Linked DNA regions of Cricetulus griseus. The protein of the gene in region 1 interacts with the protein of each later gene in a pairwise test. Links are inferred from orthologs where the notes say so. Each region holds a gene or a part of one and is shown on either strand. Other genes may lie near its edges.

Region 1 (9,148 bases):
AAGCACTTCAGTGACTGAGCTATCATCCCAGTCAACATAATTCGCTTTTTCTTAGTTCCGTTGTCATTCAGAGACTGGAGGAAAGCAAACAACAAAGTCTACTAGTGAAACTTGGCTGGGTTAAAAATGTGCTTCCTGTTTCCCATTAGGCTGAGTTATTCAGCCATAACAGATCTCAGGGTACACCTGCTTTTGCCACAGCCACACTCTGTACAGAGCACACCTAGACATTTTTCAGGTGGCCCATGAGATAGTAGATTCTGCCTCATGCTGTCAGTTATAGGATATCCCTAGGTTCTTACATAACCATTCAGACAAGTCCATTGTGGGTACACAACAGCTAATCAAATCTATAGTGACCCCCAAGCCAGAATCACATCCAGTCTAGGACAGGTCCTAGACAAAGCAAGTGATAGTAACAGCCTCTATTAAACATACACCCAGCCACTTACTTAGAAAGTCTGAGAAAGGGGCCACAGACCAATAATTTTTGCTCTCTCAGGCTTGGGAATCTTCCTGAAAAAGTCAGATTTTTTTTTGTGATGAGGGGGTCTTTTTGTTGTTTTTGGTTTTGTGTTTTGTTTTGTTTTGTTTTGAGACAGGGTTTCTCTGTGTAACAGCCCTATATGTCCTTTAACTTGCTCTGTAGACCAGGCTGGCCTCAAACTCACATAGATCTGCCTGCCTCTGCCTCCTCCTAATTGCTGGGATCAAAGGTATGCACCATCACTACCCAGCGAGGAAGTCTATTTTAGACAAGGAGTCTGTATTGTATATGTAGAATCTTTAAAGTCAGTCTCGTTGTTGCCAGTTCCAGGGATACTTACCCTGCCTCCGCCCTCTACCCAAGCCCTGCTCTGACCTCACATGACTCAGTTTTGACTTGAAGATGAACTCCTTATTGCCTCCCTGGCTCCCAGATGCTGAGCTTAGTATGAGCCCAAGGTTTCCAAGTGTTATGTCTTAGTGTCTCCTCCCTCTCTGTCCCTTGCTTGTTCTTGAACAAGACTGGCTCCTAAGCTGTCAACTTGGGAAAAGGGCTAGAGTTCAAATACCACAAAGTAATGTGTTACCTCTCTTCCTAAGAGAGGTTTCCGTCTTCCTGCTTTCTTTTTTTCTTTTTTAAGACCTGCTGTGTGACTTAAGGAAAACTTAGTCATTGTTTTCAGGTAGAGTGTGAAAAGAGGAGACCTAGAAAGAGAGAGTGTTCAGCCAGGACTAGGCCAGGTTCCCTATCTTCTGGTCCCATGCTGTTCTCATCTGTGCTTGTTCATTGCTCTGTCTTCTGGGCTAGAGGGGAGTAAGGGCCCTGGGACAGAAAGCATAGTACCTTCCTTTTCTTTTTGCCTGCAGTTAAGCCAGGCAATGTGAGGAACATCATTCAGCACTTTGAGAACAGCCATCAGTATGATGTCCCAGAGCCGGGGACACAACGACTCTCAACAGGAAGCTTTCCTGAGGACCTGCTGGAGAGTGACAGGTAGCTGGAGCTGGATGGGACCCACCAGCTGCCCAGACACGGAGCACGGCCAGGCTTCAGCACTAGGGTTTAATTCCTACTGCCTTGCTCCTCTCCACTAGACTGTGAGGCTGCAAGTAGAGCCTGCCCACCCTAGTAGCTGCAGAAAGCATAATGTATTGGGAATTAGGCCAGTGGAAGATCATGAAGGCAACCTTCAGGTGGATCCCCTAACTACTGAGCAGTTACATCCCAAAATGGAGCTCGATTATGTTATCCAGCTACCGATCAGGAAGTGCTGGGTGATGTGGATAAAGGACTTTGGAGGGGACAGAGGGAAGTCTTAGAAAATGAAACTCTGCCTGTTAAGAAGAAAACTTAAGCTAAGTGAGATGTCAAAGCACACTGTGAATCCTACCCAGCACTAGGGAGGCAGAGGCAGGAGGATCTTTGTGAGTTTCAGGCCATCCTGGTCTACCTTGTCTCTGTAATAATAATAATATAATAAATAATAATAATAATAATGCTTTTTTAAATGCTTAAAAAGGAGTTTCTGCTGACACTTTTAAAGACAAGCAGTAACTGGGAATGAGTCATCCTTCTCAACAGACTGTAGAGTCAGTTAGCTCAAGACCTTCAAAAAGAAAAGGGGGGCAGGTGTGGTGACACATGTTTGTAATCTCAGCACTCCTCAGACTGAGACAGGAGGATCACTGGGAGTCCAATGCCAGCCTAGTCTACAAAGACCCCATCTCACAAATGATGGGGACAGGGTCGGGATGGTGCTGTCTTGTTTTGTGCATCTCTGTCAGATATCGGGTTCTAAACAAGGATGTTTGTGTGGTTGTAACACATGCTATAGATTTCCTTGCTCCTGACAGGCATGACAGTAGTCATGGCTACACCAAGCTTTAGAATAAAGATTGCCTCTAGTCAGAAATGGCTGTGCAGATTCCTCAAGCCATCCTTTTGTACGGGGAAATAATCCTGTTATACAATCAAGTTTGAAAGCCACTGAGGTATAGAGGTGGGCAGGAAGGCAAGTCCAAAGGCAGCAGTGTAAATAGTCTAGCCATTTTGCCTTTGAAATAACTATCAACTCATAAGTCAGACAGTCTTGCTTGAATGCAAGTTTAATCTTTCTGTTTTATATTAGCCCTCATAGACTTAGTGTGTGTCAAAGGATTTAGCCATAGTAAGAGTTGACAAAGATTTTGGGACAGTAAACTTTAGATTTGTACTGTAGAGAGAGGTTGACTTCTAACATTTATAGGTAAATTAGATACAAATTACATAATTGCTGTGACAGGTGTGATTATTTGGATATGTCAAATATTTTAAGTTTGGGAGATGTCAATACCTTGAGAAAACATTTGAAACATATACAGACTTGCACTCTTGGCCTTGCTAGGTAAATTTGATCTACCTAAGACAGATGGCTGTCGATGCTTGGCAGGTATTGAGTGCCGAAGGGATCTTTTAGGAAGTTACAAAGCTTTGTAGCCTCTAACCCAACTGGAAGAGGTTTGTAGTGCTGACTGAGGACAGAGAAAACAATGTGAGTTGATATGGCTTAGATCTGGCTTGTTTTCAGAGATTCCTAAGGGGTAAGTTCAGGAGGACATCAGTTGTCAAGATGTTTGCAAACCCTGAAGACAAATTCAGGCCCGAAGGAGATGAGCTCTGTGTTGAATCCTCTGGCCTTTTAGAGAAAGTGTAAATGAAGATTCAAGGTACTTGGCTCCCTGTGGCAGCCGCCTGCTTTACTATTAAGCACTCTCCAGACATCTCAAGGCCTTCTGTGGTTCCAGATGTAGAACAGGATATAGATTAGCAATAATGTCAACAAAGGGCCAGCCCAGCAGGGCCTGGTGGTACATCTAGGGGCATCTAGGGGTCAGAGATGCTAGCTGTATTGAGGCCGATGTACTGCAGGACTCAACAGAAATCAGTTCTCAGTTGTCAGCATCTCACCAAGCCCTAAGGATGCTTGTTAGCCAATTAGGACAACCAGGAATGAACCCCTGCCTACTGTAACCAAGCTCTGGAAGCATCTTCCCTGGCCATTCCTCCCTGGAAAGGAACTAGAAGCTTAGGGAAGGTGCTATCAGTAGGAAAAGGAGAGATCTACATCATAGCGGGATGGAGAGTAAGAATACTAGAGCAGATATCATCTTCTGACAGGCGGCTTGGGGAATTACAGGAACCCTAAGTATACCCCCCTCAAAGAGGATGTTGTCAAGGAAAGATCCACCTCAGTCAGAATAGAGAGTAGTAGCTGGTCCAAAACAGTCAAGGTGTACTGGTCATGGGATGGCCTCCAGGGCAGTGGACCTTATGACCCCTAATGAAAGACTATGAAATCCATGTGTCTTCTGAAAGGATCATGGTGTCTTAGGCATCTGGAGACAACACAAACCTGATTCTCTTAGCCCAGCGGTTCTCAACCTGTGGGTTGCAATCCCTTTGGGAATTGAACAACCCTTTCACAAGTGTCACATATCAAATATTTGCAATTCATAACAGTAACAAAATTACAGTTATGAAGTAGCAATGAAAATAATTTTATGGTTGGGGGTCACCACAACATGAACTATACTAAAGGCTCCTGGCATTAGGAAGGTTGAGAACCACTGTCTTAGCTCCTGACTTCACCTTTCTGATAGCTCAAGGTGAAGAAGAGAAACTATCCAGTAAGCCCACCGAGGAGAGCGAAGAGTCTGTAGAGCAGCCAGAGTGGCTTGTCATTGTGCAGCTTCTGGACCCTCATGTTTGGGCCTTTCAGGGCCAGGTAGAAAACCTGTGGTATTGAGGCGCCTTTGGAGTGGGGTAATAGGTAAAAGCTAGCCACAATGTCAGATCTCAAAAGTTTCTTGTCCCTCTATGGCAGTTCTCGCTCAGAGATTCGCCTGGGCCGCTCTGAGAGCCTCAAGGGCCGGGAAGAGATGAAGAGATCTCGGAAAGCAGAGAATGTGCCCCGATCCCGAAGTGATGTTGACATGGATGCTGCTGCTGAGGCCACTCGCCTTCATCAGTCAGCCTCATCCTCTGCCTCCAGCCTCTCCACCAGGTAACTTCCATTGCTATTTAGTGTCGTTAGATACATTGTTGTTGTATACAGTATATTCAGAGCTGGTATTTTCTCCTCAGGTCCCTTGAGAACCCAACCCCTCCCTTCACACCCAAAACGGGCCGCAGGTGAGTGGTGAGCACCGTGGTACCTCTGTTTGGTGTCTCTGTGGCACTTTCACGCATCTGATGATGGCCAGATGTTTATCCATTCTCCATGGGCCTTAGACAAGCAGGTTGGATAGGAGAGTGACAGACAACCTTGAATGTAAGTTACTCACAAGTGAAACTGAGCTCCCCATTTTCCCCAGGAGCATTGAGTCCCCCAATCTGGGGTTCTGTTCAGATGTTGTCCTTCCCCATCTTCTGGAGGATGATCTGGGCCAGCTGTCTGACCTGGAGCCAGAGCCAGATGTCCAAAACTGGCAGCATACAGTAGGCAAGGACGTGATGGCAGGGCTAACACAGAGGGAGATTGACCGGCAAGAGGTCATCAATGGTGAGAACTGCCTTGCTTCCCTCATCGCCACTCATGCTTATGTGGGTAGGAGAGATTCTCCAAGGTCAACTCATTTCTGGCCTTAGCCCAAGGGTAGAGAAACCAGCACTCTACTTTCCTAAAGAGTAGTATGGTGTGTGGACCAGGGAGTGACTCTAAACCAGTGGTTCTCAACTTGTAGGTCTCAACCCCTTTGGGGGTCACATATCAGATATTTACACTACAATTCATAACAGTATGAAATTACACTTATAAAATAGCAACAAAATAATTTTATGGTTGAGGGTCACCACACCATGGGGAACTGTATTAATGGTTGCAGCACTAGGAAGGTTGGAAACCACTGCTTTAGACACTTGCTGATCTCTTTCCCCTCCCTCTCCTTGTCACAACCTCTGCTCAGAGCTGTTTGTGACAGAAGCATCCCATCTGCGCACCCTCCGGGTCTTGGACCTCATCTTCTACCAGCGCATGAAAAAGGAGAACCTAATGCCTCGGGAAGAGCTGGCGAGGCTCTTCCCTAATCTGCCTGAACTCATAGAGATTCACAGTAAGGAGCCTGCACCCCTCCCGACTCCCTCTGCCACCCTCCTCTCTATTTCATTTGGACCCCACCTCAATCCCCTAAATAAGTAACCCCACTACTCCTGAGAGAAGCTGACGGATAGCTTGAAACCAACCTCCAGATCCAAAGTAAAGGCTTCCCGACTTCTCCATTGCACTACTGTCAAAAGTGCTTTTCCTTCTAGACATAAAGTATCTAGCAGTGTGGCTCAACCCAGGCATTTCTGCTTCTTCCTTCTTACCACAGATTCCTGGTGTGAAGCTATGAAGAAGCTCCGGGAGGAGGGTCCCATTATCAGAGACATCGGGGATCTCATGCTGGCTCGGGTATGGCAAGGAGGAGATTGGAGGAAGCAAGATCCCTTTACCCAAGACTGAGGAATTTAACAGAGAAGGGGATAGTCAAGGGGGGGGAGGTAGGGGGGGTGCTGCTCCCTGACAGGAGTGTGATACCTGGACCATGTCCCGTCTGCCTCTTCAGTTTGATGGTCCTGCCCGAGAGGAACTCCAGCAAGTAGCTGCGCAATTCTGTTCCTATCAGTCAGTAGCCCTAGAGCTAATCAAGACTAAGCAGCGTAAGGAGAGCCGGTTCCAGCTCTTCATGCAGGTATCCTGGGCTGTGTCTTAACCCTCCCTCAGCTGTGTCCTACTCACCAAAAGTCTCCTAACCTCACCTGGCCCCAACCTTGTCTCTACTGAGGTGGGCACCTAGCAGTCCCCTCTACCTACCCACATCACCCACAGCAGTACTGTAAAGCGTTGCCTCTAGAGCCAAAGATCCTTTGATTGAGAAGTACTGTGGACTAGTAGGCAAAGGCCTAGCTTGACTACCAGCACTGGTGTGTGCTTTTCTGTAAAACAGGAGTGATACTGCCCTTCTGTTTTGACCATCTCTTCCTGGCAACATCAACCCCTCCCGAAATGTTAAAGGAAAAAAACTGCCACCAATTCCAAGTGACCATCCGGGGTTAGGACCTACTTGGCCTTTTCACAACCATCTTAGCCTTGACCCCTAAAGGCAGCTCCCAACTACTAGTTGACATCTTCCTCTCTCTGCTTCTTGCTATCCAGGAGGCTGAGAGCCACCCTCAGTGCCGGCGGCTGCAGCTTCGAGACCTGATCATCTCTGAAATGCAGCGGCTCACCAAGTACCCTCTGCTGCTGGAGAATATCATCAAGCACACAGAGGGTAGGGCATGGGGAGGGCTAGTGGCTTGTGGCAGCAGACATCCTTGCTTTGTCACAGTTTTGTGATCTTAGAAAGCCTAAACCTTTGAAGTCCTTAGTGTCTTCCTTGTCCTGGTACATTAAGTCTCAGAGAGGAGAATAATTGTAAATGTGTTTTGGAAATACAAAGTGCTGTACAGCAGGGAGAACAGGGCCACTACTGGCTTCTGGGCCTTTATAGAAATCAGGAAGCATAGACTCAGTGGCTGGCCCTTAGAGGCGTCTTGGCACCTCTGGGCAACTGTGAGTTCCTGTGAGGGCTATGCTGGATTTTAGACCCATTAATACCTCTGTTGGGTACCTCTGCAGTGTATGAAAGCTATAACCAGGGGACTAGCAAAATGACTCAACAGAAACCCACAGAAAAGGATGGAAGGAGAGAACCAACTTGACAAATATACACACTGTGGTGTGTGTGCATGCATGCACGCACACACATACACACACACAAAGTAAATAATCAAATATGCTAATCATATATAACTCTAGAAGAGTGATGAGCATATGCACTCTGCAGGCAGAAGCACTAACTACCACACATTTCCCCCTTTTGGTAGGTGGCACACCAGAACATGAAAAGCTCTGCCGTGCCCGGGACCAGTGCAGAGAGATTCTCAAGTTTGTAAATGAAGCAGTGAAGCAGACAGAGAACCGTCACCGATTAGAGAGCTACCAGAAACGCCTGGATGCCACTGCCCTAGAGCGGGCCATCAACCCCTTGGCAGCAGAGTTCAAGGTAGGAGGTGGAGGTTACAACACTGGCAGCCTTCTTGGGCCCTCTGAGGAGCAGAACTCAAGTCAGGGCCCAGTGAGTCTTAGAAGTAAGATACATGGACTGCCTGTGATAGGGTGGCATGGCCAGGCCCTGGAAGGCACACCCTATTAATGTCATTCATCCCTAGATGAACAAGAACAGCCCCACTAAGTAAAGACCAGATGTTGAAACTCAGCTGAAGGAAATAGAATGGGGTAGGACTTGAGGTAAAGGAGGAAATAATGTGGCAAGAATAAAGCTAAAGAAAAGGTCAGGAAAAGCAGCACTGCCTCCTTGGGAGGTTAGTGGCCAAGTGGGAATCCCAAGTCTAAGCCTTTAATATATTCCCCAGAGCATCACAGGCACAGGGCTTCCTAGCACACTTTACTTCCCTCCATCCCTGTAAGAGCTTAAAGGTAACAGTTGTTTCCTACCTGCTGATTCTCAGCACCTTCGCATAATATCCTTACACAGTAGCTTCTTAAATACTTGTTGAGTGAATGCAGTGATGATGTCTCCTTTATAGAGCCTGGATCTTACAACGAGGAAGATGATCCATGAGGGACCCCTGACCTGGAGGATCAGCAAAGATAAGACCCTGGGTATGTGCCAGGGACTAGAAATGGGAGGGAGCCTGTGGTAAGTGTGCTTCTCCAGGGTTCGCTCTTCTTCTCTGTTGCATGAGCTTTGGAAGTTGCTGCTCAAGTAGAATAAAGGGATGCTGGGGAGGCATACATAATGCAACTAGGATGGCACCACGGGGCCCCTTAAGCACAGTGTGGGAAGGAGGGATATAGAGACAAAAAGAGTTGGAGTCACTGGATTCCTATGGCTTGGGCATGAGCATGTAATAGCCTCTGGGTGAGTGAGCAACAGGGATTGTCTTAATTCCCAGACCTCCAGGTGCTGTTACTGGAGGACCTCCTAGTGCTGCTACAGAGACAAGAGGAGAGGCTATTGTTGAAGTGCCACAGCAAGACAGCTGTGGGCTCCTCAGACAGCAAGCAGACCTTCAGCCCTGTGCTAAAGCTCAATGCTGTGCTCATCCGCTCCGTGGCCACAGGTACCCATGAGAGATGAGCCAGCAAGCCCGGGGCTCTGGGACATGTTCACCATTTACTACCCAGTGAGCACTGGGTGATGTAGGCCCTTTCTGGGGCTTTACAAGGCTTAATGTCCTGTATTCCTTTCCTATCTTGATCTAGTCTAAGCAGGAAGACCTGGTCCAAGATGGGCAGGGTGAGGGGTAGAAAAGGGACCAAGGTAAAGATGGACAGCCTGAAGCAGGGGTGGTCAGGCTGAAAGGACCATGATGGGTAGAATGGGTGTACTGGGCGGGGCTGAGAGCATTCTGTCAAAGCAGGAATGGAAGAAAGGGAACCTAAAGAATAGGACAGATCTTGTTGCAAGAATGCCTCAGATAGAGCAGCGTTTCAGAAGAAAGCACACCTACAGCACAGATCTGAGTCCAGGAGTTTGAGGTAGCAGGGCAAAGTATGATATGAGAATGGGCAAGAATAGGCAACCACATTCTCTGGGATCACCTTCATCTTTGACACCTGACCTCCCTAAGCAG
Region 2 (9,777 bases), on another chromosome or scaffold:
CCGGAGCTGCCCGTCGCGGACGCCTCGCCGCGCGCATCCCGCAGGCAGGTCGGGCGGTGAGTTGCGGGGGCTTGGGCGGGGCCGGGCGGAAAGCCGCGCGCGCGCCCAGGTGGAACGACCCCGAGGCCTGGGTCCCGCCGGGCGCGGGCAGCCCGAGCGGCGCGGTGGGCGGCTGCGGTGCAGAGAGTTGGGACCACGCTGGTGCGCGCGAAGGCAAACTCTGGCGGCGCCGCCTGAAACGCGATTGGGAGACGGAGGAGGTGGAGCTGCTCCTCCGCGCCCCCTCCTCGCCGCCGCCGCCGCCGCCGTCTGTCGGGGCCGGCCGGCCCCTTCCCCGCCCTCCCAGGGCCACTGGTGGGGTCTTTGTCCCGTGGCGTGGTGGAGGGGGGAGGGCTGAGGATGAGCCGAGGCAGGGCAGTGGAGGCTTCCCCGTAGGATAGCAGACCCTTCGGGCTGAGGCTGACAAAGGAGGACCACGAGCCTTTTAATTCTGGGACGTACCCCGCGGGTGCTCGAGGAGCGCCTGAATTTATCGCGGGTGTCTGGTAAATGATGGCTCCGTCCCCTCCACCCCCACTCAACAGCCTGAAAGCAGGTGTGCGGTGGTCACCATTTCAATGTCAATGAGTTACGTTCCCTTTTAAGTGGATACTGGATGGGGACTCAGAAAGGAAAGGCCAGCTAACTCCCAGGCAAGGTTCTTGTGCAGGTGCGGATGGACTGAATTTGTGAGCCCTCTTGGTTAGTGAGAGCCGCTGCAGGAGGGGCTCAGGTGGTGCTTGTCCTTTGCAGAAGTCAGGCAAAGCAGTCCTGGGCCCCGCTGAAGGGTTTCAGGGAGTGTGGACTCTGAAGAGGCCTGTAGGGCAGGCCTGGGCACAGGCAGAGTTAGACTTTGGCTATGAGCCTGGACAGAGCCTGAGATGCAGGGAGTAGGGAGGAGATACTCGCAGTGCAAGTTAGGGACATGAGGCTTGGGTCCAAATAAGCGTTTTCAGTCTGCTCTAGTCTGATCATTAATAAGACGGTGCCAATTCCTTGTCTTTTGAGAGGCCAAGAGGCTTGGAAAGCAGGAAGCTCCATATTACCCCTACTGGCTGGATTTCCTGGGCAGTGAAATGGGGGCTCATTCACCGTGGAGGGAACACCTGCTCTGCGTTGGGGTTGCCGGTTACTTGGGCCTCCTAATTAAAAGTGGGCACACTCCTCCTTGTCCAGGGTGGGAGGATGCAATGGGAGAAAATGGTCTCGGGACCCACTCATGCCAGATCCACTGTACCACATTTAGTGTTCAGAACAGCCCTACGTCCCCTCCCACCAACAGGAAACGAAGCTCAAAGCCCAAGGAAAGTCAGGCTGGTGGCTAGGTGTGTCCATTCCATCTACCACACAGGGTCGCCTCCTCAGGAGCCTGGGAAGGCTAGGAAGGCTCCCCGGGGAGGTGACGGCTGGGTGTGGGAGGTAATGGGAGAGAGAGGGAGTGGGCATTCCAGGCCGAGGGAACAGCCCTTGTGATGGCAGGGAGGAGTAGAACAAGCCTGCAGTTTAGGCAGGAACTAAGAGCATGTGGATAAGAAGGGCCTGGCCTTTCTCTCTCCATCCCTAGCGTACCCAAAAAGCTTGAGGAGGGCGTGCACTGCATTTTCGTTTAAAGAGCATCCAGTGATGTCCTCATAGATTGGAGGGACTAGGGATACCTCTGTAGTTAAGTGCAATCTGTCTGCTAGCATGGAGGAGGAAAATGTCACTACCCTTTGTCCTGCCCCTGCCCATGGTATGTAGGCCTATTGAAGTAGTTCCTTAGAGGGGGTTAACCTCTGACCTGTGTGCTGAGCTCTTCGGAGCCCTCAAATTTCTCTGTATGTTCCCCTCAATGCAGCTGTAATTTCAGTTTGGGGAGTGGTTTTGTTACTGCCCCTTGAGGGCTGAGAAACTTTGGCTTGCAGTAGGCTCTGAGCAAATATTTATTTACAAGCCAACGAAACAGCAAATGCTGGGCTCACTATGGGACCCTGTGCCCAAGGCACCTCTGTGGCCCAAGGTAGTATGGGAAGGTCGGGTAGCAGCAGTGAAAGTGTTGGCTTCTGCCTTTCCAGGGGAGGAAATTTGGTCTCTCTATCCCTTGGAAACAAGGTGGGGGGCTATTTAGTAGCCTGGCCTTGCCACAGCCCTGGGCTTCAGGCTGGGTTCAAGACTTTTTCTGCTGCCTCTTCCCCTCCACCCCCTTGGGTGGCAAACAGAAGCAGCCTTGTTCCCGCTCCCATAGAGCTGCCCTGTTCTCTACACACTAAAAATGGAAACCCCCAAGCTATTTTGGGAGCAGTGCCCAGCCAGACTGTGGCCATGGCCCCCTGCTCCCAACTGGGCTGTGACCACAGCGTCCTTGCTCCCACCAGGCTGCTGGACCTTCCTCTTAGCCTTGTGCCCAGCCCTGCTTATGATAGGGCAACCTCAGGAGTGCCCTGCTGAGGCCTTTGATAGCATGGGCCAATCCAGGCTCAAGGAAGAAAACTTTGGGAACATTCTGCATAGCCTGGCAGCTAGGTGGTGGGAGGGGCTGGGCAATGTGGCCTGGGCACAGGCAAGGAGGGGAATGTTTCTCAATGTAGAATGGTTTGTCCCATACCCCAACCAAACTGTGTTCCTGAGTGAGGACCAGTGGAGTTTGGGGAAGGTAGTTTTGCCATAGTTACTTAGGTCTGGAATTTAGGAGCCTTAGCTGGGGCCTGCAAAGTGGGAAAGCAGGCACTCAGAGTCTGTGGAAGTCCTGGGTTTGGACTCAGGTTGCAGGGCACAGCCAGGCATGATCACTTCCTCAGAATACCCAACCTACCACTCATACTGCACTCTGGGTTCTGACTCTACAACCTGCAGGAGAGAAAATTCCAGGAGATGGCCTGCCTTCCACAGCTTTCTAGGACTTAGTGCTGGAACCAGGGAAGTGTGCGTGAGTCTGTATGTGCAGGTGTCTAATGTGTGTATGTCTGTCTCGGTGGAGGTATGACATGTCCATGCAATGTATGTAGGGGCTGAGTTTTGTATGACTGTTTTCATGTGGTGTCTGAACATAGATACATGTGCCCTGTGTGGTGTGTTTAATGTTTGTGTGTATGTGTCTACTGTGTGCATAGGTCATATCTGCATGCGTTGTCATGTGTCTGTCTGTGTGTGCAAGTGCTCCTGTGTTTGTGTGGAGACGTATGCATTCAGTGTAGGTGGCATGCGTCTGTCTTAGTGTGTGTGCATGTGTCCCTGCTGGTGTGCTGATGCCCGTTTGAGTTAGGGTGGCCCCTAGTCTATGTGAGCAGTGTAGAGCTGAGTGCCCTGATGGGCAAAGTTAAAGCCAAGGGTGGGATGGAAAGGATGCCGAGAAGGGACCTCGGTGCTGGGGGCCTGACTGAGCCCAGATGGCCATGGGGTTCCTTTCTAGTTGACCTTTCCCAGGCCCCTCGGGTGCCTGGCTCTGCTGCCCTCCCCCTCCCTGTGTGGGTTCTGAGGAGGCGTCCTCTGTGGAATGTGTTTGGTGGCTGAGGGCCAGGCTGGGCTGGGCTCCACCGTGGGCTGGGGAGTGGGAGGGAGTCCAGGGCTCCCGCAGGCCTGCAGCCCAGCCCCCAGCTTCATTCTCTGCTTTTCCCCACTGGCTAGGTGACTCCTGCTCAGGTCATGCTGTCATCTCCTGACCCAGCCAGCCCTGCCAGGTGAGCCAGACTTTACCCTAATGGGGAACTGTGTAGCTGTCTCTGCTACTCAGGGCTCCCCAAGGTGAGGCCCTGTCCTTCAGCTCTCACCCATCCCAACATAGCCCTTTTAGATCCCTGGCCTGAAGGGCCCTGCATCCAAATTCTTTACTTTTTCATTTATTTATTTTGTTGTTGTATTGAAACGAGGTCTCTATGAGGCTGTCCTGGAACTCTCTGTATGAACCAGGCTGGTCTCAAACCGACCGATCCACCTGCCTCTGCCTCCCAAGAGGTGGGATCAAAGGAGTGTGCCACCACACCCATCCCTGTGTCCAATTCTTGCATTGTTAAGACATGCTGGTAGTCTTTTAAGACCTCATCACCCCTTTTCCTCTTGCCCAGGAATCTAGTATCCATATAGAGGGACCCTTTCCCTCCTCAGAGACCTCTTCATCATTTGAATCAGAGAGCAGGGTCTAGAAGGAACAGAGAGATCAGGTGAGGGCTAGGGTGGGATATGAGGAGGTACAGGTCTCCTGAGAGAGTAGTGTTGAGTTTTCCAAGGGCAATGTCTTCTGTTTCTGCCTCAGTACGTGTGCAGTCCTGGGATCACCCGGGCATCTAAGCCTAGTGAAGCCTAGGAATCTCTCAGTAGCCCAGGTTAGGAGGAACATCTTGGCAGTGCCACAGTCCTGTCCCCCATCAGTGACTTCTGAGTACCCTCCTGGCCATGTGAGCCTCATCCAGCCTTTCTCTCTGCCAGGTGACCATGCCTGTCCTCGGCCCAGTTCTTCTCCAGATGCTCTGGGCCGGGTGTATCCTCACCCTACAGTCCCCTCTACCAGCTGTTTTTACTGCCAATGGCACACAACTACAGCATTTGGCAAGGGACCCCACCTCAGGTACCCTTTATGTAGGGGCCACCAACTTCCTGTTCCAGCTGAGCCCTGGGTTGCAGCTGGAGGCCGTGGTGTCCACAGGCCCTGTGAATGACAGCCTAGACTGTCTGCCACCTGTGATACCTGACGAATGTCCCCTCGCCCAGCCTACTAACAACCCTAACCAGCTGCTTCTGGTGAGCCCAGAGGCACTGGTGGTGTGTGGGAGTGTTCACCAGGGTATCTGTGAGCTGCGGAGCCTGGGACAGATTGGACAGCTGCTGCTCCGGCCAGAACGGCCTGGGGACACCCAGTATGTGGCTGCAAATGACCCTGCAGTTAGCACAGTGGGGCTGGTTGCCCAGGGATTGTTGGGGGAGCCCCTCCTGTTTGTGGGGCGGGGGTACACCAGCAAGGGCGTAAGTGGTGGCATTCCTCCCATTACAACCCGGGCCCTGCGGCCACCGGACCCCCAAGCTGCCTTCTCTTATGAAGAGACAGCCAAGCTGGCAGTGGGCCGCCTCTCTGAGTACAGCCATCACTTCGTGAGTGCCTTTGTACGTGGGGCCAGTGCCTACTTCCTGTTCCTGCGGCGCGACCTGAAGGCCCCTTCTAGAGCTTTCCGTGCCTATGTGTCCCGAGTGTGCCTTCAGGACCAGCATTACTACTCGTATGTGGAGCTGCCCCTGGCCTGCCAGGGTGGCCGCTACGGTTGGATCCATGCTGCAGCTGTCACCACATCCAAAGAGGTGGCCCGTGGGGAAGTGCTCTTTGCAGCTTTCTCCTCAGTGGCTCCTCCTACTGTGGACTGGCCCCTGTCGGCTTCAACTGGGGCATCCGCATATGGAACCTCTGTGCTCTGTGCCTTCCCCCTGGATGAGGTAGACCAGCTTGCTAATTATACTCGAGATGCCTGTTACACCCGGGAAGGCCTTGCTGAGAATGGGACCAAGGTGGCCGACATTGCATACGATGTCCTTTCTGACTGTGCGCAGCTGCCAGTGGTGAGTCCAGGCATTTGCCACTGATCAACTGCCAGGAAGGCTGAGGAGCAGGGATTGGGAAGAGTGGCTCTCATGCCAGGTGCTAGGTATTTCCTTTTAGGCCTGAGCAAGGTGACTATCTTATTGCAGTGGCTGAGCCAGGTGGTAAGGAGCAGTTGGAGGGACGGGCTTGAGTCAGGGCACTGAAGAAGTGACTGTAGAAGTCGGCAAAGAGAGTGCTTGGGCTCGAGGGTATGGATAAAGTGTTGGAATGAGCCCTCTTGTTTTAGGTTCTGGAGCAAAAGAAAAGGTAAAGACTCTGTGGCTATAGCCTAGGAAGGATAGAGACGGAGAAACTGCTCACTGAGTCCGTGAGGTGCAGAGGGCACAGGCAAGTGGGCTGGGCGTTGTGGAGCCAAGCTGTGCGAGCTTTAGGAGACGACTCAGGAAAAGATACTGAGTATAGCAACTGGAGGAAGTAGCTTCCAGGAAAGGGATGGCAGAAAATGGGGACCACTGCTAGGATGGAGATGAAAAGGGAAAGGAACCACCAGAAACATGGAGGACGGAAGCACACTGAGGTAAAGCTAAGGATGGTCCTGTAGGAGTGTCCTGCCCAGGACAGCACTGCCAGGGAGGCCAAGCGGAGATTGGGACCTAGGTGAAGTTTACCTGGAAGGTTATCCAGGCAGGGTCTTAGTGATGCTTTTTGCCACCTGTAGGATACCCCGGATGCCTTTCCTTGTGGCTCAGACCACACACCCAGCCCCATGGTCAGCTGTGTCCCTTTGGAAGCCACACCAATTCTGGAGCTGCCAGGGGTTCAACTAACAGCTGTGGCAGTCACCATGGAGGATGGACACACCATTGCTTTCCTGGGTGACAGTCAAGGACAGTTGCATAGGGTACGTCCTTAGGAAGTATTAAGGTTTGAATGTGTGACATGTGACATACTAAGTGCCTCCCATCCCTGCTCTGGCTCTGAAAATGCTGCTCCTGCCCGGGTAGGGTGTATTTACCTATAATTCTCCCCACATACACATACACCCTACAGGCTGGTTGTAATAACCTGGAACTCACAGTGTAGAACAAACTGCTCTCAAACTCACAGAAATCTGCCTGTCTCTGCCTCCACGGTGCTGGAATTTAAGACTGCCCCCCCCCCCCCGACATCTGCCCAAAGAGAACGCTCTTATTCATAAATTGTTCTAGTTCTGAGCAGTGGAAGGTCTTGAGTTTGTGGCTTTGGGCTCGGTGCCAGATTTTGTGGTCTTTCATCTTAGGTCTACTTGGGCCCTGGAAGAAGTGTTGCCCCGTACTCTAAACAGAGCATCCAGCCGGGGTCTGCTGTGAGCAGAGACCTTACCTTTGATGGTACTTTTGAGCATCTGTATGTAGCGACCCAGACTACCGTAAGTCCTGGACACAGGCCAGGGAATGGCTGCTGGGAGCGGTTCCTGGGATGGTACAGGGACCCATATGTGGGTGGGCCACTAGTTTTTGGATTGCCAGCCTCAGGTCCTCTTTGCTGTCACAGCTTGTGAAGGTTCCTGTGGCCCCTTGTGCTCAGCGTCTGGACTGTGACTCTTGCCTTGCCCACAGGGACCCTTACTGTGGATGGTGCGTGCTCCTGGGCAGGTTAGTGCTCCTGCTCCAACTCGTGACCTGGGCTTGTGCCTCATACAAGATTCTTGGCCCTTGTCCACCAACTCTCAATTTCTGACCTGTGGACGACCCCCCTCTGCTCTTTATCCCCCTGCTCAGGGCTTCAGTTCTCTGCCATAGCAGACACAAGAGCCTGGTATCAACCCCACGTGAGGACTGTGGCCAGGGCCTCGGGGCTAGAGATATATTTGCTTTGTGAATTCTTGGTGACTGCTTGAGGGTCACAATTAACATGTTGGTTCTTCTTAGATGCAGTCGCCGGTCAGAGTGTTCCAGGGGCCAGGGCCCAGAGCAGTGGCTGTGGAGCTTCCAGTCGGAACTGGGTTGTCTTCGAGTGGTGGCTGTGAGCCCTGCCAATATCAGTCGGGAGGAGATGAGGGAGGTAAGTGACCGGAGTTGGCAGAGCCCCAACGGGGAGAACTCGGGATGGATGGAGACCTTGGATCTTTGAGTTATTGCATCAAATGCCACATGGCCTTCCTCAGCCACTTCTCTTGGGCCTTGGATTTCTCTGTAACAATCAAGGTCAGAGGTTGTTTGTGAGGGCTACAGGATGCTAATGCCAACCTGGACTTGGTGCCCCTTAAAGGAGAGTTCCTGGTCTACCAGCCAATGATCCCAAAGTGTGCCCTTGGCTTTCTTGGTAGGTTTTCTTGTCGGTGCCAGGCCTGCCGTCTCTTTGGCCGGGGGAATCATATTTCTGCTACTTTGGAGACCATCAGAGTCCTGCTCTGCTGACTGGTTCTGGTGTGATGTGCTCCTCCCCAGACCCTAGTGAGGCTCCGATGCTGCAGAGAGGAGCCGGTGGGTGAGAGAAGGGGCCAGCCCCGGACCTGGGAGCCCCATCCTGCTTCCACTTTGCTCTAAGGGGTTTTGTTGGGATAAGAGGTGAATCCAGACATAGCCCTGGTTGTGCTCTGAGTCCCCACAGTGTCCATGCTATATGTCCTGAGGGCTTTGTTCTCTGACCCTAGTTCCTGTCTCCATTTGGGGTGTCAGCCTCATCCCATATGGACCCTATGCCCTTCCCGCTGTTCATTTCTGGCTTTCTCCCCCATGCTGCAGACCACGTCTCCGTGACCGTGGAGCTCAGGTTTGGTGCTGTGGTGATCGCCAACACTTCCCTCTCGTTTTATGACTGCATGGCAGTTACTGAGCTTTTCCCGTCTGCACCGTGAGTTCCTTACCTTGTCTGTCCCCAGCACTGGGCTCCTTTATTGTGACCTCCATTCCATGACCACTATATGCATGCAGGTGCCAGGCCTGTGTGAGCAGCCGCTGGGGGTGTAACTGGTGTGTGTGGCAGCACCTGTGCACACACAAGGCCTCGTGTGGTGCTGGGCCCATGGTGGCGAGCCAACAGGTGAGTGGGACTCCAGAATGAGGCATGTTGGGGGTGGGGCTAAGGCTCCCCAGGGTGAGGTTTCTAATGGCCTGGGGTCTGTGTGCCTGCCACCTCCTTTGAAGTTCTGTGCTGAGTACTCCAGCTGTTTTGTGTGACAGACACTCCGGGAGAATGGCTACTTGTCCATCCCATCTGTTTTGGGAGAGGACATTTAAGCTGAGGGGCAAGAGGTGTGGCCTTGGCCTGCTACCTTGGCACAGACCCCCCTGGAGCCTGCCCTCTGTGTTCCTGCTTTAGAGAATTAATGGGATGTTTTTTGTTTCTCTTTTCCTCGGTCTTCTTCCCTCTTAACATACCCTTGCCTGCCTGCTCCTGCACCTGCCTGCTGAGTGGCCCTTCCTGTCTGTCTTGGCCTTCCCTCTCAGAGCCCACTCCTCTCCCCAGTCCCTCCTGCAAGGGATGTACTCACTCCATTCCCACCCACAGTCCCCAAAGCCACAGTCACCCCTACTCCCAACACCTTCCCAGTGGAGCCTCGGGCTCCCTCCACAGTTTCAGACGTCCTACCTGGGGCCAGGCCTTCCTGGCTCAGCCTCTGGGGCCCATGGGCAGGTCCTGGCCCCATACTTTCCCCTACCTCCACAGACTTACCTCTCTATGAGAAGCCCCTCCCTACCACACCTGGAACCACTGTCCCTACCCCTGCTCACTTGGAACCAATGACCACACCTGAGGACCTCTTGGCCTCCTACCCATTCCCCTCAGATGCAGCTACAGTGTCCCCTGCAGAGCCTGGCCCTGAGGCCCTGCCTTCCACAGGGGCTCTGGACCATCCCCCTGGCACTGCTCCTGCCACCACTTTCCCAGGGGCCACTGGCTCCATGAAGCCTGTTCTGGATTGGCTCGTGAAAGAAGGCGGCGAGCTGCCCGAGGCGGATGAGTGGATGGGGGTTGACACGCCTGCCTTCTCCACTTCCACACTCCTCTCAGGTGATGGAGACTCAGCAGAGCACGAGGGCTCTCCTGCCCCCCTCATCCTCCTGTCCAGCCTCGACTACCAGTACGACACCCCCGGGCTCTGGGAGCTGGTGAGGTCCAGCCCAGGAAGGAGGCCTCAGGGAGGGGATGGCAAGATGCAGCCGTTTGTGCTCCCTGTGATTCTGCTTTGTGAGGGTGGGGACAGGGCTGCCACTGGAGTCAAGTGAGGTAGAATACTGAGGTGGGCAGGG
Region 3 (9,899 bases), on another chromosome or scaffold:
TAGAATCAATTCCCAGCCATGACCTAAGGGACTTTGAGAAAGTGGAATATACATAGGTCCCCACACTGGTCATCCCAGGATGCCCTAAGAGAGTTTGTTGGCGCTGGGAAGGCAGGTTGGCCTTGAGGAAGGAAGCTACTCACTGGTGATTCTCCCATCCACATTAAGCCAGGGGCCTGGCAGGCACTTGGCACTTTAAGGAGTGCTGGACGGAGTCTGAGGGTGAGATAGTGAGCAGGGCTCCATGTCCAAGTGACACAATGGAGCAAGCACTCAAGGCTTAGGAGGGACGAGGACCTGGGATTTTCCAATGAGGAAATGCCCAGCTTGGAGTGGGAGGTGATACTGGTATATACATGGGGGTGGGAATTTGGAGCCCCTAACCCAGTTCTTTTCTCTGGTGAGAAGCATGACACACCAGGTCCCTCTGGAGTTTTCTTTAATTCTATGTATACCTGGAAGAAGTGAAGAGATGTGTTCCAGGGAGCACTCCTGGTCAAGAGAGGGCTTGCCTAGGTCCCTCCTCCTCCTGACATAGGTTTTGTGGCAGAGGCACAATATTCCAAATCAGGCCTGATGTTGAAGTGGAGGTAAGGAGGGCTGAACCTTCTGCTCCTGAGGCCAGTCTAGGGACTATTTCTGAGGTTGGAGTAGTTGAGCAGGTCATTCTAGAGCCCTTCCCCTTCTGCCCCTCACCCCTCATCCCTGGCAGCTTTCTTTCTTGCTGGGCAGGGAAGAAGTGCCCCCAGTATCAAGTGCATGATGGTGGGGCAGAGTGTGATCCACAGCAGGGTTCTTCTATGTCCCGGGATATCTGCTATCTTCCACAAAGAGAGCAGAAAGCCCTCAGCCTCTGAACCACACAAATGCCATCTGCTTCCTCCCAAGACAGACCCACACTCTTGTGCTGGAACTGTTCTAAGACCCAGCACTTGCCTAGCTTTAAAAAAAAAAAGGGTTAGGGCTCTTGAGAATGAAGAGACAGTCAGAGGGCCATGTGTCAATCACAGAACACTCTTAACCACAGTCATCTATGCTGCCTACTGCATATTCTACCGTTGACTGAAGAACTCTGAGACTTCCACACATGATGTGGAACCAAAGGAAATAGTGTTCTTCCCCTGAAAAGGCTTTAATAGATTCCTTATGTATCCCCCAGGTACAGCCCTACATTTGGCATGAACCCATCACCAATTCTACAGGTGGACCAATGCAGGACGCAGGTGGTATGCTGTTTCAGAGGCCACAGATCAGAGCAGCCCCATGGAAAGAAAGCTCTAGCCCTGTACACAGCCAACCCTCTTACACAGTCTCTGAAGGGCTCCCAAGAGCTGTCTTGACCCAGGTAACCATCTGAAAGACCAACATTAATGCTTTTTTCTCTTTTTCACCCTGCCCCCTGCCCCCGCCATAGGAACTACTGAACAGCTGAGCCAGAGGGACCCCTGCCTCCAAATGCAAGTGCGTGGTCCCTGTGTCCAGACAGGACATGCCCCAGGTCAGGTTGCTGGGCTGATAGCAAAGCTGGAGTCAAAACTAAAGGGGGAACTACCCTTTCCCCCTTCCTCTTCTTAAGGCCTGGAGCCAGGACCTAGGTGATACCAGAATGGGGAACTTCTGGGTTTCAGAAGTCCAGGGAGCTGAGGAAGAAAGAGGGTGTGGGCAACAAGCCCAGCCCTGCCCCTAGGCACAGTGTCCCAATCCGGTTAAGCCCCTTCTGTGTGTAGTCCACTGGGACCCCAGGCAGCTCAGGTGTGAACTCAGCAGTCCATGGGGACACCCCAGGGAAGGCTGCCAGCCATGAGGGAGGCAAGGAGCCAGGCTGGGGGAGGGGACACTGGGCTGCAGAGGCGGGATCAGAGAGTGACAAAAGACAGGAAATAGTGCTACCAGCTCCAAGTCTGGACCAGCTTGGGATCTTCCCGGTGGCAAGATTGTTACTGTGAGATGGTTCAGATCTGCTCCAAGGGGAGTTCACCATCCTTGACCACCTGGGAGTTGAATCCAATCACGGTCACAGGTTAACGAATTTTAGAGTAAGGAGGGCCCCTCTAGAGTTGGGGTACAGGAAGGATAGCAGAGGCCTTTCCTATCCTTTCAGATGCTCTAATGAGGTAGAAGAGTCAGAGGCAGCACCTGTAGTCAAGAGTTCAGGACAGGGCAGAGTCCATGCTATGTCAACAGAGGAGAGCAGGAGGCTCACACAGCTGGGGGTAGGGAGCAGTAGCTGCCTGGGGAAGTGAAACCTAGAAGAGCATGAAAGAGTAGTCACATGAGGTCTGGAAAGCCAAGAGCTGGGGCAGCTGCCCCTGATACCCTATTCCAACCCCCCCCACACACACACACAACACACACATACACACACACTTCAGCCCTTCCCAGACTATAATTAGTCAGAATCCAGCTCCACCCTACCCACAACCCCACCCTAAACACAAACAGCCATTAGCCCTAGGAGAGGGGCTCTACCCAGCCCCTACCCCTATCTAACCACCCAATGGCTTGGCACAGAAGGGCAGTGAGGCTAATAGAGGCAGCCTCAGCCTCATCCACAGGTTCTCCAGAGCCTTGACTACCAGGCCTTGGTTGGAGTTCTAACTAACTTACCTTCTTTCCCTCACCAAGCCAGTTCTTTTACAAGAGGCCCTCAACAGAGACAAAAAGCTTACTCCCCGAATATCAAGAGCAAGGCAGGGAACAGGAAACAGCAAGAGGAATAGGAGGACATAAGCAAGGAGTGCCTGGCTGCAGGGTGACAGCCCTTTGTGGCAGAGAGGTATGTAAGGGATAGCCGACAAGCAAGGGATAGTGCTTGCTAGAAGATCCTTCCACCAGTGACCCTTGCCTATGTCCAATATCCCTGAGGAACCATTAGCACTAACCATCAGGAGAGGTACCAGGCAGTGGACAGGACATTAGATGTATGTTCTAGAATAGCTAAGGATCTGGTAGGGGGGACATGTGCCATATGGACACCTCCGTAGGCTGTCAGCCCAGCTCAACCCAATCCCTTCCAATTCAATCTCTTCTGCTCCACTAGCAGGGGCCAGGGCCAAGTCCCTGGGCTTCCTGCCCTTGGGCATCAGCTGCTGGCTCTACTTCCCAATGTGGTCTCCATCCAGGCTCCTGGGCAGTCACAAGCCCCAGGAGCCAACTCAGGAACATCCCAATGGCTTCTTGTAGGGACCTTTATCTGCTCACCTGTGGGATGTCCTGACCAATATCACATTACTAATGAGGGGCGGAGCCGGGAGGCGGTGCAGCCCTTCATTGAACAGCTGGTCAGTGAGAAGACAGGTAGGTGGCCTAAGGTTTAGCTCCAGGAAGATGTGCTTCCTGATCTAAGTCATTGCCAGGAGTGGGACCCATCCCAGGTGTCCTTAAACATGGTTTTAGGGAGTGAACCGGGTCTTCCACATGGGTCTGAAGTACTTCCTGCCCCATGGGCTCTCTCAGAGGAGCCTGGGCATATTCCAGGCCGGGCAGGGCCTACAAAGAAGCCGACCTTGAGGACCTTCTCTAACCCAAGGTGACACATGCCCTCCTACCCCGCCCCTGACTGGTCTGAGCAGCCATGGGAGGGAGGTGGTAGAGCTGCCTGGACTTGCCAGCCCCGCCCTCCTGGGGCTCTCAACCCCGCCCTCCTGGGGTTCTCAACCCACGGCCCGGAAGTGGGTCCCTTCAGCCTCCCCTTCTGCTTCAACCTCCTCTTTGGGTAGCTGGAATTGCTGGACTCGGCTGGATAATCCAAAATAATTCCTCCTTGGCAGGCAGCCCGTGGGGGAAGGGGGACTCACATTCCAAACTCTTGTTTTTCTAAGTAACTTCCCTGAGTTCCTGGGGCTAGGAACCTCTGTCCCGTCCTCAGGCCTCCCCAACTCCATGGAAGGGTGTGAGACTAGGTACCCAAGGAACCGTGGTCTACCTGCTTATTTCTGTCTTCTCTAGCAATTTCGATACAACACAATAAGGTTTGGCACATTCCACAAAACACCTCACATGCTCGCCCTACTTTCGTAGGAACTTCACCTCCTGACCAAAGAGCGAGAACTCTTCCCACTGGTAGTCCAACTTTCTAATGGCATTCCCTACGTACCAGGGTAGCATCCGGGTGTAGGATCAGGCTGACAGCTCCCACCTTAAAGGTGTGCGTGGGCAGCCTGAGGAGTTCAGCTTTAAAGCCATCAATACAGACCGAAGATAGACATTAGAAGGGGCACTCCCCAAGGCAAATGAGGGCCCTCAGAGCCTCTGTTCCTCAGGACATTACACTCACTGACTTTGGGCCTGGCTTCAGCTCCAGTTCTGACCACCACCACCACCATAGTGGCCACTGGCCCACCTCTCTTCCTGCCTTCTCCAAGGAGCTAGAAAAAGGAGTTAAGTGACGTGGCCAGAAACTCTAGGATTCTTAAGATCGGAAACCCCCAGACCGGGAGACACTACCCATCCACACACAAATCTGCCACACAGCCTGACCAGAGGAACAGTATGGGCACATGCATGAGAGCTCCCTGCGGAAGGTATATAGAAGTAAAGGGCTAGATTGTGAAAATACCTCCCAAGTTCTAAGCCTTCTGTCCTAGGTGTCCCTCCAAATATCACACCAACGAACTACACTAGAAGCTGCGGAGACCTTGCTGGGAGGCGTGGGGCCTCACCAGGTACTACTGGGTGTTAGTTCTCTCTGTCCCTTGTTCCCTGTCCCAGAAGGTGTGGGGACTGCTGCGGTTGTGCACCCCTGGAAAAAAGCTCCAGCAGAGCCCGGCTCTGCGCAGGCTTAGCTTGAGAACTGGGGCCTGGAGGTCCGGCATAACAGGGATGACTCTCTCTGGTCCTTCGATTCGGCAGGCTAAGAGGTAGGGGCGCCAGCCGCGAGGGAGGGTTTGAAACTACACTGGGTAGAGTGCAGCTCCATTAGATCGCTGGGACCCGGCCAGTCAGGCCAGTCTCCCAACATCCCGGCGCGGAGGGCCTCGTCGCCAACCGGTGGGGCAGGAGCAGCCAGGCCCAGCCGGTTGGACAGACAGACACAGGGCAAAGACGCAGGCCCGCGTCGCCCACAGCGCAGCGGCACTGCCCTAGCACCCCCGCGTCCGGGTGCGCAAGCCGAGGCCGAGCGGCGCGGAGAGCGAAGCCTGGGCCTGCGCGACGCCCCCCGCAGTTCCCGTCCCCAAGTGCGGTACCTGCTCCTCCGCAGCCGTCGCTCGATGGCGCCGGGGCCGCGCTCTGCGTTGCGCTCTGGCCCGCGCGGCTGCCATGGAGACGGGCCTTTGTGTGGCCGAGGAGGGGCCGGAGCGCGCGGGAGCCGCCGGCCCCGCCCCCGCCAGGGGAGAAGGAGGGCGGGGAGGACAGGGGCGGGTGAGAGGGAGGGACGAGACTAAGGGATAGAGGATAGCCGACCGAGGGTAGGAGGGGCAGCTGGCGTCCCTAGCGTACCCCGCGTTTCCCCCTGCTCAGAGCCACTTAAGCACACTGCTTTGCTTGGATGTTCGCTCCCTGTAGCAATCCGCGCGCCCTGCCTGCTGCAGTCGCGTCTCCCCCCACCCCCATCGCCCCGTCATCAGAGGAGTTCGCTGAGGCTGGGCACCACCCCGGGAGTGCCTCAGGCCGAAGTGAATTGGTGCACGCGGCCCGGCACTGGTGGGTGGCTTCGGCTGGGCCAGACCGAGGCCTTAAGTGTTCCTCTTGGAGATGGGCGGGGCGCAAGGAACCTCGCCACCAGATTGGCAACAGGGGGACCACGCTCGTGTCCTTCCCGAGGGTGATTCTTTCTCCGGGATTCTAGCCGCTCAGTCTCCTGCAGAATAGCTGGAACTCTGCTCTCATTGCCCTCCTTCCTGGTCCCCTGGCCCATCATATCTGGGCCTTAGCGACCCCCAAGTCTTCATCTATTGGGTAGGACAGAACTACTCCCTAGAGTTCCTACTTCTTTCTGATCTCCAAGTCACCCATGCTGTGGCCCCATGGATTTGTAACTTGGCGATGACCCCACTGTCGCAGAACAGGGTTTGGGACTAGTTTGCATAGCTCAGCTCGTGTCTACCCTGCAGTATCTATCGCCTCCACCCAAAATTGCCCTCCTTGAAGACTGCCTACTTCCTATTTCCTTAGGCATCTCCTCCCCAACTTTGGGGATCCACCCCAATTCTTAAGCCTTCCCCAGCAAAAGACTACAAATCTGAGGGTTTTGCCGGTTGTGTAAGCAAGACTGACTTGCCCCATCGCCAAGCAGCTAGGCTTTATCATATTACCTTCTTCCCTCCAACAACAGTTTCCCCCCCCCCCACATACACACACATACCAAGGGACTTCAAAATATCTAGTAATTTGCAGGGCTGCAAAATCTGTATCAAAAAAAAAATAAGTATTTTACCACAAAAAGATATTTTAATACCAAAGTTGTGGGAAGGCCAGTATTCCAAACTGAGTGGGGCTCAAAATAGAAGGCAGGAAGCTGGAGGGTAAAAGATCCCTCCTGTTCTTCCGGTCTTGTCCCTGGGGCTGGCTGCCTCATGACCTCCACCCAGCCCTCCTAGATCCCTTGAATGCTGGCTCACAGCTCTCTCCAATATGCCACACAAGGGAGCCCTGGGGATCACTGCATCTTGGATTTTTTTTTTTTTTTTTCACTATCCAGGCATCTTAACCATGAGGGCCCTTGGGCTTGGGGGGAGGGAAGCACTTCCTTGAAGCCATCTGTCTTCTCTCCAGGCCCTGCCCTGGGCATGGACTTGAAGTCTTTAACCTACTCTGGACAGAAACCCCCACTAACTCAGCTGATCCCATCCTGGGAGAGCTAGAGTAGAAGAGGATGTAGCTGGTAGGAGGCCCCAGGCTGTAAACTCTACCCAGTAGCCAGGACAAGCACCTAAAAGGAGATGGTACTTTTTCCTCATTCCTATATGCCTTGGGTCTATGCCCTAGGAAGTACTGTTGTGAACACACACGCCACATAACCCCTAAATCTGTTTCTGAGTCCCATGTCCAGTGTTCTGAGAATGACTGATTGCTAGGACAGAAGCTAATTAGTCCCAGGTGGATGGTGTCGGAGGTCCATGGGAGCCACTATGAAGCTTACTGTATGACAGCCCCCAGAAAGTGAAGGGAAAACACAACACATTGCAGTGGCATTTGAGATGTGCTCTTTAGAGTGAGACCAATAAGACCTGGGAGCTTCAGACCTTGCCACTCTATACTTGGATATGAGGCTGGGCACACCAAAGGCACAGTTTCAGACTCCAAATGGCTAGCACTGTGCTGTCCCCATAGCCTGGAAGCTCCATCTGTCACAGTGGAAGATGCCATATTTCTGAAGATCCCTTAGAGACCAGGCTTTTGGTGGTGAGGCTGGCACCTCTGTTTCAGGAGGTGCCAGGGCCACTCTTCCTAATGCCAAGGACTCAACCTCCACCTGCTCTGCTCAGTTTTCTAACAGGACACTGAGAATGATTTAGCTCACTGTACACCTTCATCACATCTATCTTGTCTATTTCCTTGCCTGTAAAATGCATACAACGTGACAAACTGTTATAGCCTGAGGTCATAGGGGTAAGGGAGAAACAAAGATCTAGGAACAGGCCTGGCACCTGTGTACAATGGACAGCCTTTGTTACATCTGGACTTAGCCAGAATCAGTGGGGAAGGGCAAGGCAATACATACTTGAGGGTTTGATCAAAGGAATCCGAAGAACCCAGAGGGTTATAGTCATGTTACAGGAGAGCTCTAGAAGAAAGCAAAAACTCACCGTGCAGCTCTGCATTAGCTTACTTTGTGAATACTCCTTAAACATTACAGTGTGTACAACCTGTTCTTTCTTTTTTTTGGTTTTTCGAGACAGGGTTTCTCTGTGTAACAGCCCTAGCTGTCCTGGAACTAGCTCTGTAGACCAGGCTGACCTCAAACTCAGAGATCCACCTGCTTTCCGAGTGCTGGGATTAAAGGCATGTGTCACAACTGCCCGGTCAGTCCACTCTTTCTAATGCCCCTCTTACCCTGCTGCTGCCCCAAACTGCCCAGTGAGCCATCTACATGGCCTGGTCTCTCAGATTTAGAGTCTGAGTGGTCAGGAGACCCACCTACAGGTTTCTGATACTCAGCTGGGGTTTGGCGGTAGCTCTGGATCTTACTTAGTCTGTACCATCCCAACAGCCCTGATATTGTGCTAGGCTGTAACATTGTAGCTCATTGTACCCAGGCGGGTGGGGGTGGAGGGGTCAGTGCACAACAGTATCCAATCCAGGAAGGGGTGAGACAGGGCTAGAAAAGACTCCTCCAACCGTTCAGGGACCAGGCTGTGGTTCCAAATGTCATTTTTACTGCTGGGACAAAGGTGGTTCTAGGAGGGGGAGCTGAAGCCAGGTCAGAGCCTTGAAGGGAAAGGAAGGCTTGGCAGACTTAGGTCCCTGGGATCACACAGGTTAACCCTTTCCTAGGAAGAGCACAGAACAGTACCTCCAAGAGACACCTTGGCCTGAGAGATCAACTGTACCCTAAGGACAAGACAGCAGAGAATGCAACATTAGGCTACAGTCCAAAGCTTTCAAGCTTCAAGGGGAGAGGCAGACACAAGAAGAAAAGCCAGAGTCTCCCTTGGCAGCTTGGGTGAAATGCATGGCCGCAGGTTTGGGGGTGGGGGGCCCCGAGCTTGCTTTCCAAGTGGGGTGCCAGGTCCCATAACCATCCCTCACTCTCTCATCCTGACCAGTCAGAGCAGGAAGGAGATTTAGGCCCTCACAGGACAAAAGCTTTCTGCCCCCTCAAGTAGCTGCCTCGGCAAAGTACCCATCACTCCCAGAAGAGGGAATGAGTGAGTGGAGTGTAAAGAAGGGCTGGCCCTGGCAGCTGCCTCCCTCTGTTCTGAGCTGGGAAGCCTGCTGGGCTAAAGGACCCACAACACAAAGCATCCTGAAGTGTGGGCAGATGGGAGCCAGGAGGGGGCAGGTGGTAAAGGCACCTACAGCAGTGAGGGCTACTAGCCCACTCCCACCTGCAGCTTCAGAGGACAGGTGGGGACCAGGAAGGAGTGAGGCAGTGCCAGCAGAGAATCCCCCCACAGTCAGGGACCAGACTGTCATTCCAAATGTCATTTTTACTGATGGGACAGAGGTGGTTCCGGGAGAGAGGCTGAAGCCGAGGTAGGAGGCCAAGGCTGGGAGTCCCAGCTTGGTGGATGCCTGCCTTCACCGTAGAGGGAACTTGGCAGACTTAGGCCTCCAGGACCACACAAGTTGGCTCTGTCCTAGGGAGGGCACAGGACTGCTTGTAGGTCCTTGGGCAGGGAGCCAATAACTGTGTCGATGTACAGCTGAGCACGCTGCAGTGTCACCTCCTTCACGGGGACCTGGTGGCTCTGTGCCCGCACCTGGAGGGCAATGGTAGTAAGGGGTGGCCATACTTCTGGCCTGGGATGTGGAAGCGGTAAAGAAGGCTTCTCACCAGCTTTTCCCGAAGTTTCAGGGCTAGGTCTACCACTTCCACCTCCGACTTGTCCTTCATCCAGGCCTCGATGTTCTGCTAGGGACAGTTCAGGTTCTTCTCACCAAGCCTCCCACCTACCCCAGGCCTGTTCCTATCCCCTCCCTTTGCCTTCCCTCACCGCCTCACAAATAGCTTCCAGGTGCAGAGCTTCCAGCTTCTGGGCCATCTCTTTATGTCGTTGCCGATACCAACCATCGAAATGGGGGGACTTGAAAAAACGCCTATGATGACAAGAGGCGGCTGAGGAGCTGACCTAGTATATGTGGGGCACCCACAGCAGCCTATGCCCAATGTTTTCCCACCTGTAGAGGCCCAGCCAGTCACCCTTGAGAATGCAGGTGAGCTGGGGTCCCGAATGTTCCAGGCTACGCAGGAAATCATCCTGGCGGAAGGGGCAGATCTGGGGGGGGCTCTGAGA

The links. The genes of interacting proteins can lie anywhere in the genome.
Region 2: the proteins of Arhgef11 (region 1) and Plxnb1 interact in a two-hybrid assay, tested with the Homo sapiens proteins (2 studies listed by BioGRID). The link is inferred for Cricetulus griseus from reciprocal best matches to the Homo sapiens genes ARHGEF11 and PLXNB1.
Region 3: the proteins of Arhgef11 (region 1) and Plxnb2 interact in a two-hybrid assay, tested with the Homo sapiens proteins (2 studies listed by BioGRID). The link is inferred for Cricetulus griseus from reciprocal best matches to the Homo sapiens genes ARHGEF11 and PLXNB2.

Annotation. Positions count from the first base shown.
Region 1 is NW_023276806.1:66,736,631-66,745,778, reverse strand, and holds part of Arhgef11 (rho guanine nucleotide exchange factor 11), read left to right. Parts: intron 1-1,353; coding exon 1,354-1,480; intron 1,481-4,349; coding exon 4,350-4,529; intron 4,530-4,609; coding exon 4,610-4,657; intron 4,658-4,839; coding exon 4,840-5,027; intron 5,028-5,430; coding exon 5,431-5,577; intron 5,578-5,838; coding exon 5,839-5,918; intron 5,919-6,072; coding exon 6,073-6,198; intron 6,199-6,662; coding exon 6,663-6,780; intron 6,781-7,375; coding exon 7,376-7,554; intron 7,555-8,098; coding exon 8,099-8,174; intron 8,175-8,467; coding exon 8,468-8,635; intron 8,636-9,148. UniProt on the Homo sapiens protein: May play a role in the regulation of RhoA GTPase by guanine nucleotide-binding alpha-12 (GNA12) and alpha-13 (GNA13). Acts as guanine nucleotide exchange factor (GEF) for RhoA GTPase and may act as GTPase-activating protein (GAP) for GNA12 and GNA13.
Region 2 is NC_048597.1:217,208,877-217,218,653, forward strand, and holds the start of Plxnb1 (plexin-B1), read left to right. Parts: upstream 1-4,446; coding exon 4,447-5,559; intron 5,560-6,260; coding exon 6,261-6,443; intron 6,444-6,821; coding exon 6,822-6,950; intron 6,951-7,075; coding exon 7,076-7,176; intron 7,177-7,452; coding exon 7,453-7,585; intron 7,586-7,850; coding exon 7,851-8,007; intron 8,008-8,268; coding exon 8,269-8,377; intron 8,378-8,457; coding exon 8,458-8,566; intron 8,567-8,973; coding exon 8,974-9,636; intron 9,637-9,777. UniProt on the Homo sapiens protein: Receptor for SEMA4D. Plays a role in GABAergic synapse development. Mediates SEMA4A- and SEMA4D-dependent inhibitory synapse development. Plays a role in RHOA activation and subsequent changes of the actin cytoskeleton.
Region 3 is NC_048595.1:385,930,140-385,940,038, forward strand, and holds the start of Plxnb2 (plexin-B2), read right to left. Parts: upstream 5,332-9,899; 5' UTR 5,187-5,331; intron 1-5,186. Other genes in the region: protein DENND6B, read right to left, coding at 9,184-9,365, 9,440-9,517, 9,608-9,702, 9,784-9,893.